Arabidopsis thaliana: one gene and its partner. The protein of the gene in region 1 interacts with the protein of each later gene in a biochemical or structural test. Each region holds a gene or a part of one and is shown in the gene's direction. Other genes may lie near its edges.

Region 1 (3,936 bases):
ATCTTCACGGGTGCGCAAGGTACATTGGGATACCTCGATCCAGAATACTACCGGAATTTCCAGCTAACTGATAAGAGCGATGTGTACAGCTTCGGGGTTGTGCTTCTGGAGATGGTTACATCGAAGAAGGCGATAGATTTCACTAGAGAAGAGGAAGATGTGAACCTGGTGATGTATATTAACAAGATGATGGATCAAGAGAGATTGACTGAATGCATCGATCCACTGCTGAAGAAGACAGCTAACAAGATTGACATGCAGACGATACAGCAGCTCGGGAATTTAGCATCTGCGTGCCTTAACGAACGGAGACAAAACCGACCTTCGATGAAAGAGGTTGCTGATGAGATTGAATACATCATCAATATTCTGTCACAAGAGGTTACTGAGACATAGCTGTCTTAGAAAATTACCAAAATGACTTGTACCCTTGCCCTGTTTCCGGTTATGGATTGGAGAAAAACAATTCATAGAAATGGATTTTTGTAAAATCATTGAGATGGGTTTTGTTTGATATCATATCAAGATCCAAAACATGGTATGAGACGATATAGCAGCTAAAAACCAATTAAAGAAAGATAAACCAACAGAAATCTGAAACCTATCGCAAGAGAGAGCGGGTTGCTGCCTGCAAAACTCAGTGTCTTTAGTGAATAAAACAGTAACTCCTGCAGAGGAACACGCGGCTGCAAGAGCGAGAAGTGCAGTGACCTGCAGAATTCCAAAAGAAACCTATCAAACAAATAACCTTTAAAACAACAAGACACCAACAGTGAATAAGCATATAATGAAATGGAAGATAAGTTTAATACCCAATCACCAACAGTGAAAAGGCTCAATAAGATAGGGCTTCGTAAATCACTTTTTCTCCTTATCGCATATACATCAAGACACGCAAGTCCAAAGCTCCATATCAATTGAAGACCCATAGATGCGACTAAGAAGCTGAAATCATTGGCAAAAGCAATCTATCATCATTTTGTATCTTTTGAGATAACCCCATACAGTAATCGAAATATAGAAATAATTCCATTTCCACATATTTTTTACCAAACAAAGAAAAAAATCTTGTCAAAGTTTCAGGCAAATGTTAATCATACACAATTACTAGTTCAGTTAGCTCTATCTTCAAAAGTTTATCCAAGAAAAAACTACAAAGTCAAGATTTTTGATACATCAGTGTCCAATGTCTTCAACTAAACTAAACTAAACCAAAACACCAAGACCAATGAGATTGAAGATGGACAATTACCAGAAAGCAGTGTAATTGGAAAAGTCGTAAGAAGAAACCATAACACCAATGGAAGCAGCAGCAGTTGCACATTGCCCTAGTCTCAGTATCAACCCACTCATTGTTCCAGGACTCCCAATCATCTTCTTCATTGATCAGAACCCAAAAACAAACACAATAAACAGAACAAAACCAAGACTTTCTATCCTGTTCCTCACCAAAATCCCCGGGAGAAAAAAATCGCTACTTTACAGGAAATTGATCATAAAAACCCTAAACCCATAATTTTATTCAGGAAAATTTCACAAACCCAAATCTCAAAAGTTGACTTATGATCATAAATCGTACGGAATTGGGTAATTAAGAGCATCGCCACCAGAAAACCAACATTAAAAATGACAACTTTTTTGAGCTATATGAATTTAAAAACAAGTATCTACCACAAATTTAATTCTGCTTTTTTGGAGGAACAATTATGTTTCCCTTAACTTCAAGCCAACGATATTAAAATTGAAGTTGGAAGAAACAGTGACGCAATTCTGACGCCGGCAAGAGCTATTTTGTTCTTCTCTCCTTTTGCCTTTAAGGACGTGTCCACACACAGACATTCCTCTCTCACTGTACGAATGACCAATTCCTTTTAATATATGGGCTTCTTATGGCCCATTAAGTAATTGGGCCTTATTAAATGGCTTTTTATCTCCTACATAATGCTTTGCACTATAAACAAACCTTAAACCTCTCTTCTTCTCTCAGTAAAACCCTCATTTCTGTTTCTCTTTTCACTTTTAAGGAAAACCCTAGAATCCTCAGAAATGGCGTTGAGCACCGTGTTTCGTCGAGCTTCGTCAACAGTAGCCAATCTTGCTTTCCGTGCGGGTAGATCTCCGGTTAGCTTCCGCAGTGGCGCTGTCTCCGTCGAGAGGCTGATTCGTGGTAGCCACCAGATCAGGCGTGGATCGGTTAGTTCATTCTCAGTCTCGAGCTTTTCGACGGAAAGTGCGATCTCTAAAACAACCGCCGACGAGAATCTTGTTAGCGTTATCGAATCTGAAATCGAATGCGCCGTCGCAGAGGAGGCTCCTCATGACACTGACTTCGTAAGTTCTCTCTTTCAATATACATGATTCTTCTCGAATTCATGAGATTTTAATATTTCTGGGGTTTAGAACAATTGTATCTGAATTAGAAATGTTTTGGAAAAACAGTTGGAAGATAAGCCAGAAGGGTTTCCATTTGAAATCATTGATAATTCAGGGGAGAGAACTGTGTTGCTGACAAGGAAATTTGAGGATGAAACCATCCAAGTGGAAGTTGACTCTGTTGCTTCTTATGATGATGAAGATGAAGAAGAGGAAGCAGAACCAAACAATGAAGAAGACGATGAAGATCAAGAGAGCTCGGGTAAAGTCCGGGTTCCGATGGTTGTTAGTGTGCAGAAAGGTGATGGTGTGTGTCTTGAGTTTGGAGTCAGCGCATACCCGGATGAGATTGTGATTGATAGTTTATCGATCAAACAACCGCAAGGATCTGATAATGACCTTGCTTACGAAGGACCTGACTTTGAGTAAGTTTACTTCAATGATAGTGAGTTCTTGTTTGGAATATATGAGATTGGGGTATTGTTATGTGATTGAATTTGGTTATTGTGTTATGTGCAGTGACTTGGATGAGAATTTGCAGAAGGCTTTCCACAGGTACTTGGAGATCAGAGGTATTAAACCAAGCTTCACTACCTTTCTGGCAGATTATGTGGCCAACAAAGATAGCAGAGAGTATCTTCAATGGCTCAAGGATCTCAAGTCTTTTGTCGAGAAGTGAAACTGAACTTTGTTCAGAGAATAAGAGCGAGATTTCTTTTTGCTTTAAACTTTTGAGTTTATCTTAGATGAACTTGATATCACCATGAGCAATCGTTGAAAGTGAGGTCATGTGTTATGCTTGTTAACAATATTGCTACATGTTTTTAATGGGTTTTTAGGTACTTTGCTAGATATAAGATGCAACTCTTTCGAGTGTCAGTTGGAAAAAATGTTACGACCTCAATAAAGTATAATTCTTTTGCATTTTCCCATTGCCTATTCTTATCCGAAAACTCTCGGCTAAGTAGTCAAATCATTTGTTTATTTTCCATTTCTTGTTATCTCATTATTATTGTTACTAGACCTCTCAACCCAAAAAAAGAAAGAAAAAAATGCAAGCTATTAAACGATTCTAGGACTTTACACAAAGGGTTTTGTGTTAGAACGAAGAACAACAAAGCTAGCTTTACAAGTCTTTAGCAAAAAAAAGAGAGGATTTTGCTAGCAAAAAGAGCTCAGAGCTCAAATCTCAAATCAAAGAAAAAACAGATGATCCCAGTCATTGAGCAACAAATCCAGATTGAACATCCATAGTACAGTGTTAACGAAACCGGGTTTATCTTGGAGAAAGGCAGTAAGTTTGGTCTTTACAGCGTTATGTCCTCAGCAGAACACGATCATGGTGGTACAAGCTGCCAAAGACTGTCAACATTTCAGAAAATCTAACCATCCAGTTAAGCAAATAGATGTTAGACTAAGAAGAAGATATTTCAAACTTACATTACTCTAAATCTCGCTGTAGTTACGCCATACTGCTCGGAATTCCTCCCTAAATGTGTTAAAACGTGCCTTCAAGTTCGGTGTTCTCAAGCTTGCATGAAGAATTGTTGCTGTAACACAAAT
Region 2 (7,943 bases), 5.1 Mb from region 1:
TTCCTGAATGACTACAAGCATATAATACAACAAGTAATGTAACACCATCAAGCTTAAAACCTATTCTCCTCATTTCATCAAAGATTCCAAGAGCTTCTTCTCCATAACCATGCATACCATAACCCGTCATTAGAGATGTCCAAGTAACTTCATTTTTCGCCATCATATTGTCAAATACAAGGCGGGCATCACTGATGCTTCCACATTTTGCATACATGTCTATTAGACAGTTTGATACGAACAGCGGTACTGCATTCTGCTGGTTGCGCAACGCATAAGCATGAATCTGCTTGCCAATTCTTAGTGCAGCCAAACTGGCACATGCCACGAGGGCACATGATATGGTAAAAGCATTTGGTCTTGTTTGGCAATCTTCCTCAAACATCTCAGATAAAAGTTCGAGAGCTTTATTTGCATCCCCGTGCTGGGAGTATCCACCTATCATCACAGTCCAAGTCACAACATCCCTTTCCTTGGGGGAAAGTGAATCAAACATAGCACGTGCAGTATCAACCTTTTTGCACTTAGCGTACATGTCAATCAGTTGATTGATTACCATATTCTCATCACCATGACCGTTCTTACGCAAGTCTATGGGATATTTGATGGCATAACAATGAATCTCTTTACCATGCATCAATGCTCCAACAGAAGCACAACCCGAAAGAACCGAAATAAGCGTGACTTCATTTGGTTTTATCCCAGAAGACAACATCTGCCTACACACACCCAAAGCTTCATATCCAAGTCCCCGTTGAGCATACCCTGAAATAGCAGCACTCCAAGTAACAACATCCATTTTTATTTTCTCTTCCTGCATCTTCTCAAATAACCTAACAGCATCTTCAAACCTTCCAATCTGTGAATACCCAGCAACCATAGCATTCCAAGATACTACGTCCTTCACTGACATGTTCGAAAACACCGTGTTTGCCTCATCCATCATCCCACACTTTGCATACATATCCACCAAGCAATTCCCTACAAACATATTCTGTATCATCTCACTTGTGACTGCAAAACAATGCAATTGCTTCCCTAGTGAATGAGTTCCTAGGGAAGCACAAGGAGGAAGAACATTCACAAGGGTAATATTATCAGGTCTACATCCGAATTCATTGGTCATCCTGCTAAACATTTCAAGCGCCACCTTAGGTTTGCCTAACTTTGCATAACTTTCTATTATAGAGTTCCACGATACAACATCCCAAACAGACATTTCGTCGAACACCTTCCGTGCATCACTCAATGAACGACAACGGGAATACATAGCAACAAGCGCATTCCCAACAAAGACATTGGAGATAAATCCAGTTACCAGAGAAAGCGCGTGAGCAGATTCTCCACAACGAACGGAGGATATCTCGCCGCAAGCCTTGAAGACGAAGGGGAATGTGTAATTATCCGGCGTCCATGACAGAGAATGCATAAGGCCGAACAAATAGAGACATTTATTGGCGCAGCCATTGTCGCCGTAGCTGCGAATGAGTGAATTCCAATGGTAGACACCAGCGTCAGATGGAGGAAAACGACGGAGGAGAGATACGGCATGAGATAAGCAACCGACGGAGATATAGGTGGAAATGAGGTGGGAAGTGAGATTCAAGGTTAGGATTCCGAAAGAGAGGAGTTTCTGGTGAATAAGCTTGACCTGAGAGATGGTTTTGCATTTGTGAATAAACGGCGGTGTTATCTCCGGCGCCGATGTCGAGAAGAGAGAGACTTTAATGTACTGGTGAGATTTTGCGGCGGCGTTGGGGATGAGAAGGCGGCGGATCATACTACTGTAACTAGAGTGGCGGGTGATTTCTGCGTTTAAACTAAACAAATCAATTCGGTTATATCCCGGTTTTAGATTGGAAATTTGAAGAAAGTAATGAAACCGGATGTGAAAAGAAGAAGAAAGTATAATAGACCGATTAAAATTTAAAGCGAATTTCGGTTCGGTTTATGTGCTAAGCGACCTGCGTTTGCGGTTGAGTGGACGCTTTGGATAGCGTTTGTAGCTCAGCTTTGAATTGTTTTGAAATTTTCAAAATCGCAGTTTATAGTTTCGAGAACCCAGAAGACCTTTAATCTCCCGCCTCTTTCACACCATCAGACTCCATTATCGAAGCTCGTTCACTCTTCTCTCTCTCCAAATTCGAGAGAAAGGAGGAGGAAGGTGTAATGCCGCGTAAACCTAGACATCGTGTACCGGAGATTCTATGGAGGTTATTCGGAAACAGAGCCAGGAATTTAAACGACGCAATAGTAGATCTGATTCCTAACCGGAATATCCAGCCGGAGCAATGCCGATGCCGGGGTCAAGGTTGTCTCGGTTGCAGCAGCGATAAACCGGCGTTTCTGCTGCGTTCCGATGATCCCATTCACTACCGTAAACTTCTTCACCGTTGCTTCGTTGTACTTCACGAACAAACCCCTCCGCTTCTGGATTTCTCTCCAACATCTTGGTGGTCACAGAGAGAGGTAAGATTCTTCTTCCCACTGTACTATACATTGCTTTGAGTGCTTAATTTGAGATATTTCAAGACGTGGCTACTCCTTATAAAATGCCTCTATGTTATCTTATTTTGTATGATGTTGCTGATTTCTAAACATTTTGCTTCAATTGAGTTTATCAGATTGTTGAAAGGATTATTGAAATGATGCAATCTGGATGTGATTGCCAAAATGTGATATGTGCCAGATATGATAAGGTGAATTCTTCTTCTTCCTTCTCAAACTCAATGTAGAGTGCTGATTTTCTTAGCCTAATGATTTCTCGTCTCCTTTGACAGTATGATCAGTCGAGCCCTATTTTGGAGCTATTGACAAGTTCATCTTGGGAGTTTCTTCTCAAGCGGGTTTGTTCTCAAACCCTTTTGATGATTTACTTTCAATATTCGAGTTTGCGGTCACTAATATTCAAGTTCCCTTGTTTATAGGTCGGTCATGACGTCATGGTTTATCTTCTACAGCAAACATCAATATTCTTACCATTACTAGGGAAAAAACACCAGCAAGTGTCTGGACCTCCTCTATGTATCAAGCATAAGCGTGAGTCTCAGAATTAAACTTGTATCCGAGCTCTTCTGTTGGCTTTCTTTTGAAACTTCCACTTTCTTGTTGGTTCTCTGAATACTTATGATTTGTCTGTGACTGCTTGGTTATCGATTATCAACTTCTGGTTTTTAGTTCATATTAACTTAGTAAAGTTTTCCTTCTCCATGGTATAGGGACATTGTCAGTCCATGAAAACAAAAGAAAGAGGGATGACAACGTTCAGCCACCAACGAAAAGGCAGTGGCTTTCTTCAGCTGTCGATGACTGTCCTAAGGATGACTCTGCAACTATTACGCCCATAGTTGGCGAGGATGTAGACCAACATAGAGAGAAAAAAACTACTAAGCGTTCAAGAATATATCTTAAGCGTCGGCGAAAGCAGAGAAAGGTCAATTTCAAAAAAGTTGACTGTAATGCTCCTTGTATAACTCCCAGTACAAATGGTAAAGTCTCAACTGGTAATGACGAAATGAATCTGCACATTGGTATAAATGGAAGTCTCACTGATTTTGTAAAGCAGGTAATGTTCGTAACAATGATATTGATCAATCAAGTTTAAGTTGAAAATGCACAAGTTTAAACATAAAGTTATTGCTTAAAATTACTAAGAGACGTGTATAAATTGCTCTTGATTTATCCTCAGCCTTGAGAAATTGATGGGACTATTTTTGTAGTTGTACTTTGGTGTATTTTAAAAACTGTATCATTTATCTTGTTGTATTCTGGTGGTTATTAATATTCTTCCTGACACTTCATTACCTTCAAATTCGACAATCTGTTCTTGTATTTGTAAGATTTAATCACTGTTTTTTGTAGGCTAAACAGGTTAAAAGAAACAAGAATTTCAAGTTTGGCCTCTCAGAAACGTATTCAGTTATACCACCAAACCGTATCCTTCAGTGGTTTTGACATGTTCAATGACTTGTAGCAACGATAGCTTGATGGAAGTTTAAACGTTACTCTTCTCTATACAGTTCTTCTGCATTGTGAATGATTCCTTATGATATACAGACATTTTAAAAACCTTGAGGCCCAACTGCTCTGATTCAAAGCTCCTAATGAACCATATATTTGGTGAAGTAAATGTTTGGTCAACGACGCCATCTCATGGCAAAGGCAATTGCCCCAGTGGATCTATTTGCTTGTAAGTCATCCATTTATTCTTGTAAGTTCTTCGGCTTACTCTGAGACTTGGAGCATGTATTCAGATAATGTAGAGCACATATCTAAGTAGTCTGAGTTATAAAAGGAATTTGTTTAAAAGTTTTGTTGAGGTAACTGATGCAAAGAAGAAAATGATATCATGATGTCTTTTACATTGATTTGCAGATACCATTCATTGCTCAAGTCTCTTAAAAATCTAATAGGAAAAACAAAGTCTTCACATTTAAAAATGCTACTAGACAAACACTGTCCTGTTCTCTTGCTGCAAGAGGATGCATTGAAGTCCGGAACGACTTCTCAGGTTGATATTTTTCTTTTAGAGATGGTTTTCATATTTAATTTCCCTAGCGTTTTTCGTTTGATGTCTTTTGAGTATTTCTATTTCAGAGAAGTTATGTTGAATATTCGAATATGTACAACAAAAAGAAACTAGAAATGGAAAATCAACACAGTTGCTACTTTATAGACTTTGGATATATAGTGCAAACCTGCATAAGAATTCATATCCGTGGCACTTCCAAGTGCTTCCTTGAAGTGACGAACCTTGCATATCTTGTATTACAGAGTTCAAGGAGGCAAAAAGCAGATAAGCTGCCTCATGGATCAAGTTCATCACAAACGGGAAAACCCAAATGTCCCAGTGTTGAAGAAAGGAAGCTGTATTGCACGAACGACCAAGTAGTTTCCTTTATTTGGGCCATCTGTAGGTACATTGTTCCAGAAAGTTTGCTTGGGACCACTCATCAGATGAGGGTGCTTAGGAAAAATATAGCGTGGTTTGTTTCAAGGCGACGAAATGAGAAATGCACAGTGAATCAGTTTTTGCATAAAGTGAAACCATCAGATTTCCCATTCTTTGCTAGAAAAGAGTTATGCTGTATGGTCAACGGACATGAACTCCAAAGTGAATCCATCAGAAGTACACAGCAGATGTTGTGCACGAAATGGATTTCTTGGCTTTTTTTAGAGATTGTCAAGAAATTGGTGCACTTCAACTTCTATGCCACTGAAAGCCAAGGAGGACGGCTAAATATTTATTATTACCGGAAAAGGAGCTGGGAAAGATTAATAAGCAAAGAAATTAGCAAAGCCCTTGATGGATATGTCCTAGTAGACGATGCTGAAGCTGAAAGTAGCAGGAAGAAGCTATCAAAGTTTAGATTTTTACCAAAGGCCAATGGTGTGAGGATGGTGTTAGACTTTAGTTCTTCGTCAAGGTCGCAATCTCTTCGTGATACACATGCTGTTTTGAAGGACATCCAGCTCAAAGAACCAGATGTTCTTGGGTCTTCTGTCTTTGACCATGATGATTTCTACAGAAACCTATGCCCATATCTGATCCATTTAAGAAGTCAATCTGGAGAACTTCCTCCTTTGTACTTTGTGGTTGCGGATGTATTCAAAGCATTTGATTCAGTCGACCAGGGTAAGCTGCTTCATGTCATTCAAAGTTTTCTGAAAGATGAATACATCTTAAACAGATGTAGGCTGGTCTGCTGTGGGAAGAGATCCAATTGGGTAAACAAAATACTAGTCTCGAGTGACAAAAATTCTAACTTTTCAAGATTCACATCAACTGTTCCATATAATGCACTGCAAAGTATCGTGGTTGATAAGGTATGCTTCTTTTTGACCTAGAGCTTTTTGATCTTTTTGCAGAGGGTAAAATACAAAACTATTGGACTACTTAAAAAAATCTCTAGAGATCTCTTTTCTTAGTGCTTGTAGCGTCCCTGTTGTTCTTTACTTATTTGCTTAACGGTGTTATGGTTTTGGTCCAACCTTCTAGGGAGAAAACCATCGAGTGAGGAAAAAGGATCTAATGGTTTGGATAGGAAATATGCTAAAGAACAACATGCTGCAGTTGGATAAAAGCTTCTATGTACAAATAGCTGGAATACCTCAGGGACACAGATTATCATCCTTGTTATGTTGTTTTTACTACGGGCATCTCGAGAGGACTTTGATCTACCCATTCCTCGAAGAAGCCTCTAAAGATGTGTCTTCTAAAGAATGCAGTAGAGAGGAAGAGCTTATAATTCCCACGAGCTATAAGTTACTGAGATTTATTGATGACTACCTTTTTGTGTCTACCTCAAGAGATCAGGCGAGTAGCTTCTATCACAGGTTGAAGCATGGATTTAAAGATTACAACTGCTTCATGAACGAAACAAAATTCTGCATAAATTTTGAAGATAAAGAAGAACATAGGTGTTCTTCTAATAGAATGTTTGTGGGAGATAATGGAGTTCCTTTTGTCAGATGGACGGGTTTGCTTATTAATTCCCGCACATTTGAAGTTCAAGTTGACTACACAAGGTCTGCCTCATCTCCTGTATGTTTCCTTCATAAGTATACTTGTTTGGCTCTGTTTCCTCAGCTTTTATTTATAATTTTGCCTCAAATTCATGGAAACAGGTACTTGAGTGGCCATATAAGCTCAACTTTTTCTGTAGCTTGGCAGAACAAACCAGTTAGAAATCTTCGGCAAAAATTGTGTTACTTCTTGGTTCCGAAATGTCATCCAATTCTATTTGACTCGAACATCAACTCGGGAGAAATCGTCAGGTTAAACATCTATCAGATCTTTCTGTTGGCTGCAATGAAGTTTCACTGTTATGTCTACGAGGTGTCCCGGTTTTGGAAGCTTCATCCTCAAACTTTGTTCAAATTCATCACAATATCTGTCAGGTATGGAATCAAAACTACATCATATGTCTGTGAGCATTTCGGTTTTTGGATCATTCTGATTTGAGTTATTCGGTCTTTTTTTGCTTATTCGGTTCTTGATTTCTTTCCAACTGATAGGTACATGTTCAGACTCATAAATAGAAGGGTGCGCAGAATCAACACTGGTTCTAGTTTCAGACCAGTTCTTAAACTATACAAAGAAGAAGTGATATGGCTTGGCTTAGACGCTTATATTCAAGTTCTGAAGAAGAAAAACTCGAGATATCGAATGCTCTTGATCTATTTAAAATCTGCACTTTCTAAACACTCTCTTTCTCAGCAGCTATCGTCGGAATTGAGGTATGCAACAGACCGGTCAAACTCTTCTTCGCTGTGGAAGTTGAATTATTGAAACTGATCTTAACTAGATTTTATCATCGAAACTTAGGTAGATCCTTTAAATTTCTATTTCAGTCATTTTGATAATCTAGGAACAAAATGGATTTGTAACATTTAGGGTAAAGAAAGATTTAAATGTCAACTTATTAAATATGTATATTGGAAAAAACCCAAACTATAGTCTAATAGTGGTAGGGAAAATCCAGGCATAGCTTATATGGTACATCCCAAAGACCAAACCAGATTTCCAACTTCCATGTCAAAGAAACCAACAAGGAGAAACAAAGGAAACTGTTTAACTTGATGATATTAGTTCTTCGAGTATTCGGACGAATGAATCGGAGAATACCCTTCTGGCAGTTGCTGCTGCGACTGTGCTGGTTGCGATGGTTGCTCAGCTTCAACCTTCTCTTTTGTTTTCTGTCCAACCTCTCCAGCTGCTTGAGCCACTCTATTGAATGCTCCTGCGGCCCAGCTCACACCAGTTAACACGTAACGGTTCTTCATCACAGCGCTTCCTGCACTGCTCACAGTCTGCTCCGCAGCTGCATACACAGACTTGGTCCTCTCTGTTACCTGAAAGTTTTGGTCCACCGCCTTGATTTTTTCGTTCACCAAGCTTGTTCCAGCTGTAAGTTTCTGGCTAAGACCGATTTTTTGGTCTA

Evidence for each region.
Region 2: the proteins of AT5G02050 (region 1) and TERT form a complex in vitro, tested with the Arabidopsis thaliana proteins (one study listed by BioGRID).

Annotation. Positions count from the first base shown.
Region 1 is NC_003076.8:402,355-406,290, reverse strand, and holds AT5G02050 (Mitochondrial glycoprotein family protein), read left to right. Parts: upstream 1-1,944; 5' UTR 1,945-2,046; coding exon 2,047-2,331; intron 2,332-2,439; coding exon 2,440-2,798; intron 2,799-2,892; coding exon 2,893-3,052; 3' UTR 3,053-3,312; downstream 3,313-3,936. Other genes in the region: AT5G02070 (Protein kinase family protein), read left to right, coding at 1-396; AT5G02060 (Uncharacterized protein family (UPF0497)), read right to left, coding at 517-711, 813-945, 1,253-1,383; PRA1.A1 (prenylated RAB acceptor 1.A1), read right to left, coding at 3,820-3,923.
Region 2 is NC_003076.8:5,537,671-5,545,613, reverse strand, and holds TERT (telomerase reverse transcriptase), read left to right. Parts: upstream 1-2,054; 5' UTR 2,055-2,169; coding exon 2,170-2,469; intron 2,470-2,624; coding exon 2,625-2,699; intron 2,700-2,780; coding exon 2,781-2,846; intron 2,847-2,927; coding exon 2,928-3,039; intron 3,040-3,218; coding exon 3,219-3,565; intron 3,566-3,861; coding exon 3,862-3,934; intron 3,935-4,056; coding exon 4,057-4,189; intron 4,190-4,374; coding exon 4,375-4,510; intron 4,511-4,773; coding exon 4,774-5,826; intron 5,827-5,998; coding exon 5,999-6,528; coding exon of another isoform or gene 6,529-6,544; intron 6,545-6,627; coding exon 6,628-6,900; intron 6,901-7,017; coding exon 7,018-7,291; 3' UTR 7,292-7,434; downstream 7,435-7,943. Other genes in the region: AT5G16860 (Tetratricopeptide repeat (TPR)-like superfamily protein), read right to left, coding at 1-1,780; BPA1 (binding partner of acd11 1), read right to left, coding at 7,588-7,943. UniProt on the Arabidopsis thaliana protein: Telomerase is a ribonucleoprotein enzyme essential for the replication of chromosome termini in most eukaryotes. It elongates telomeres.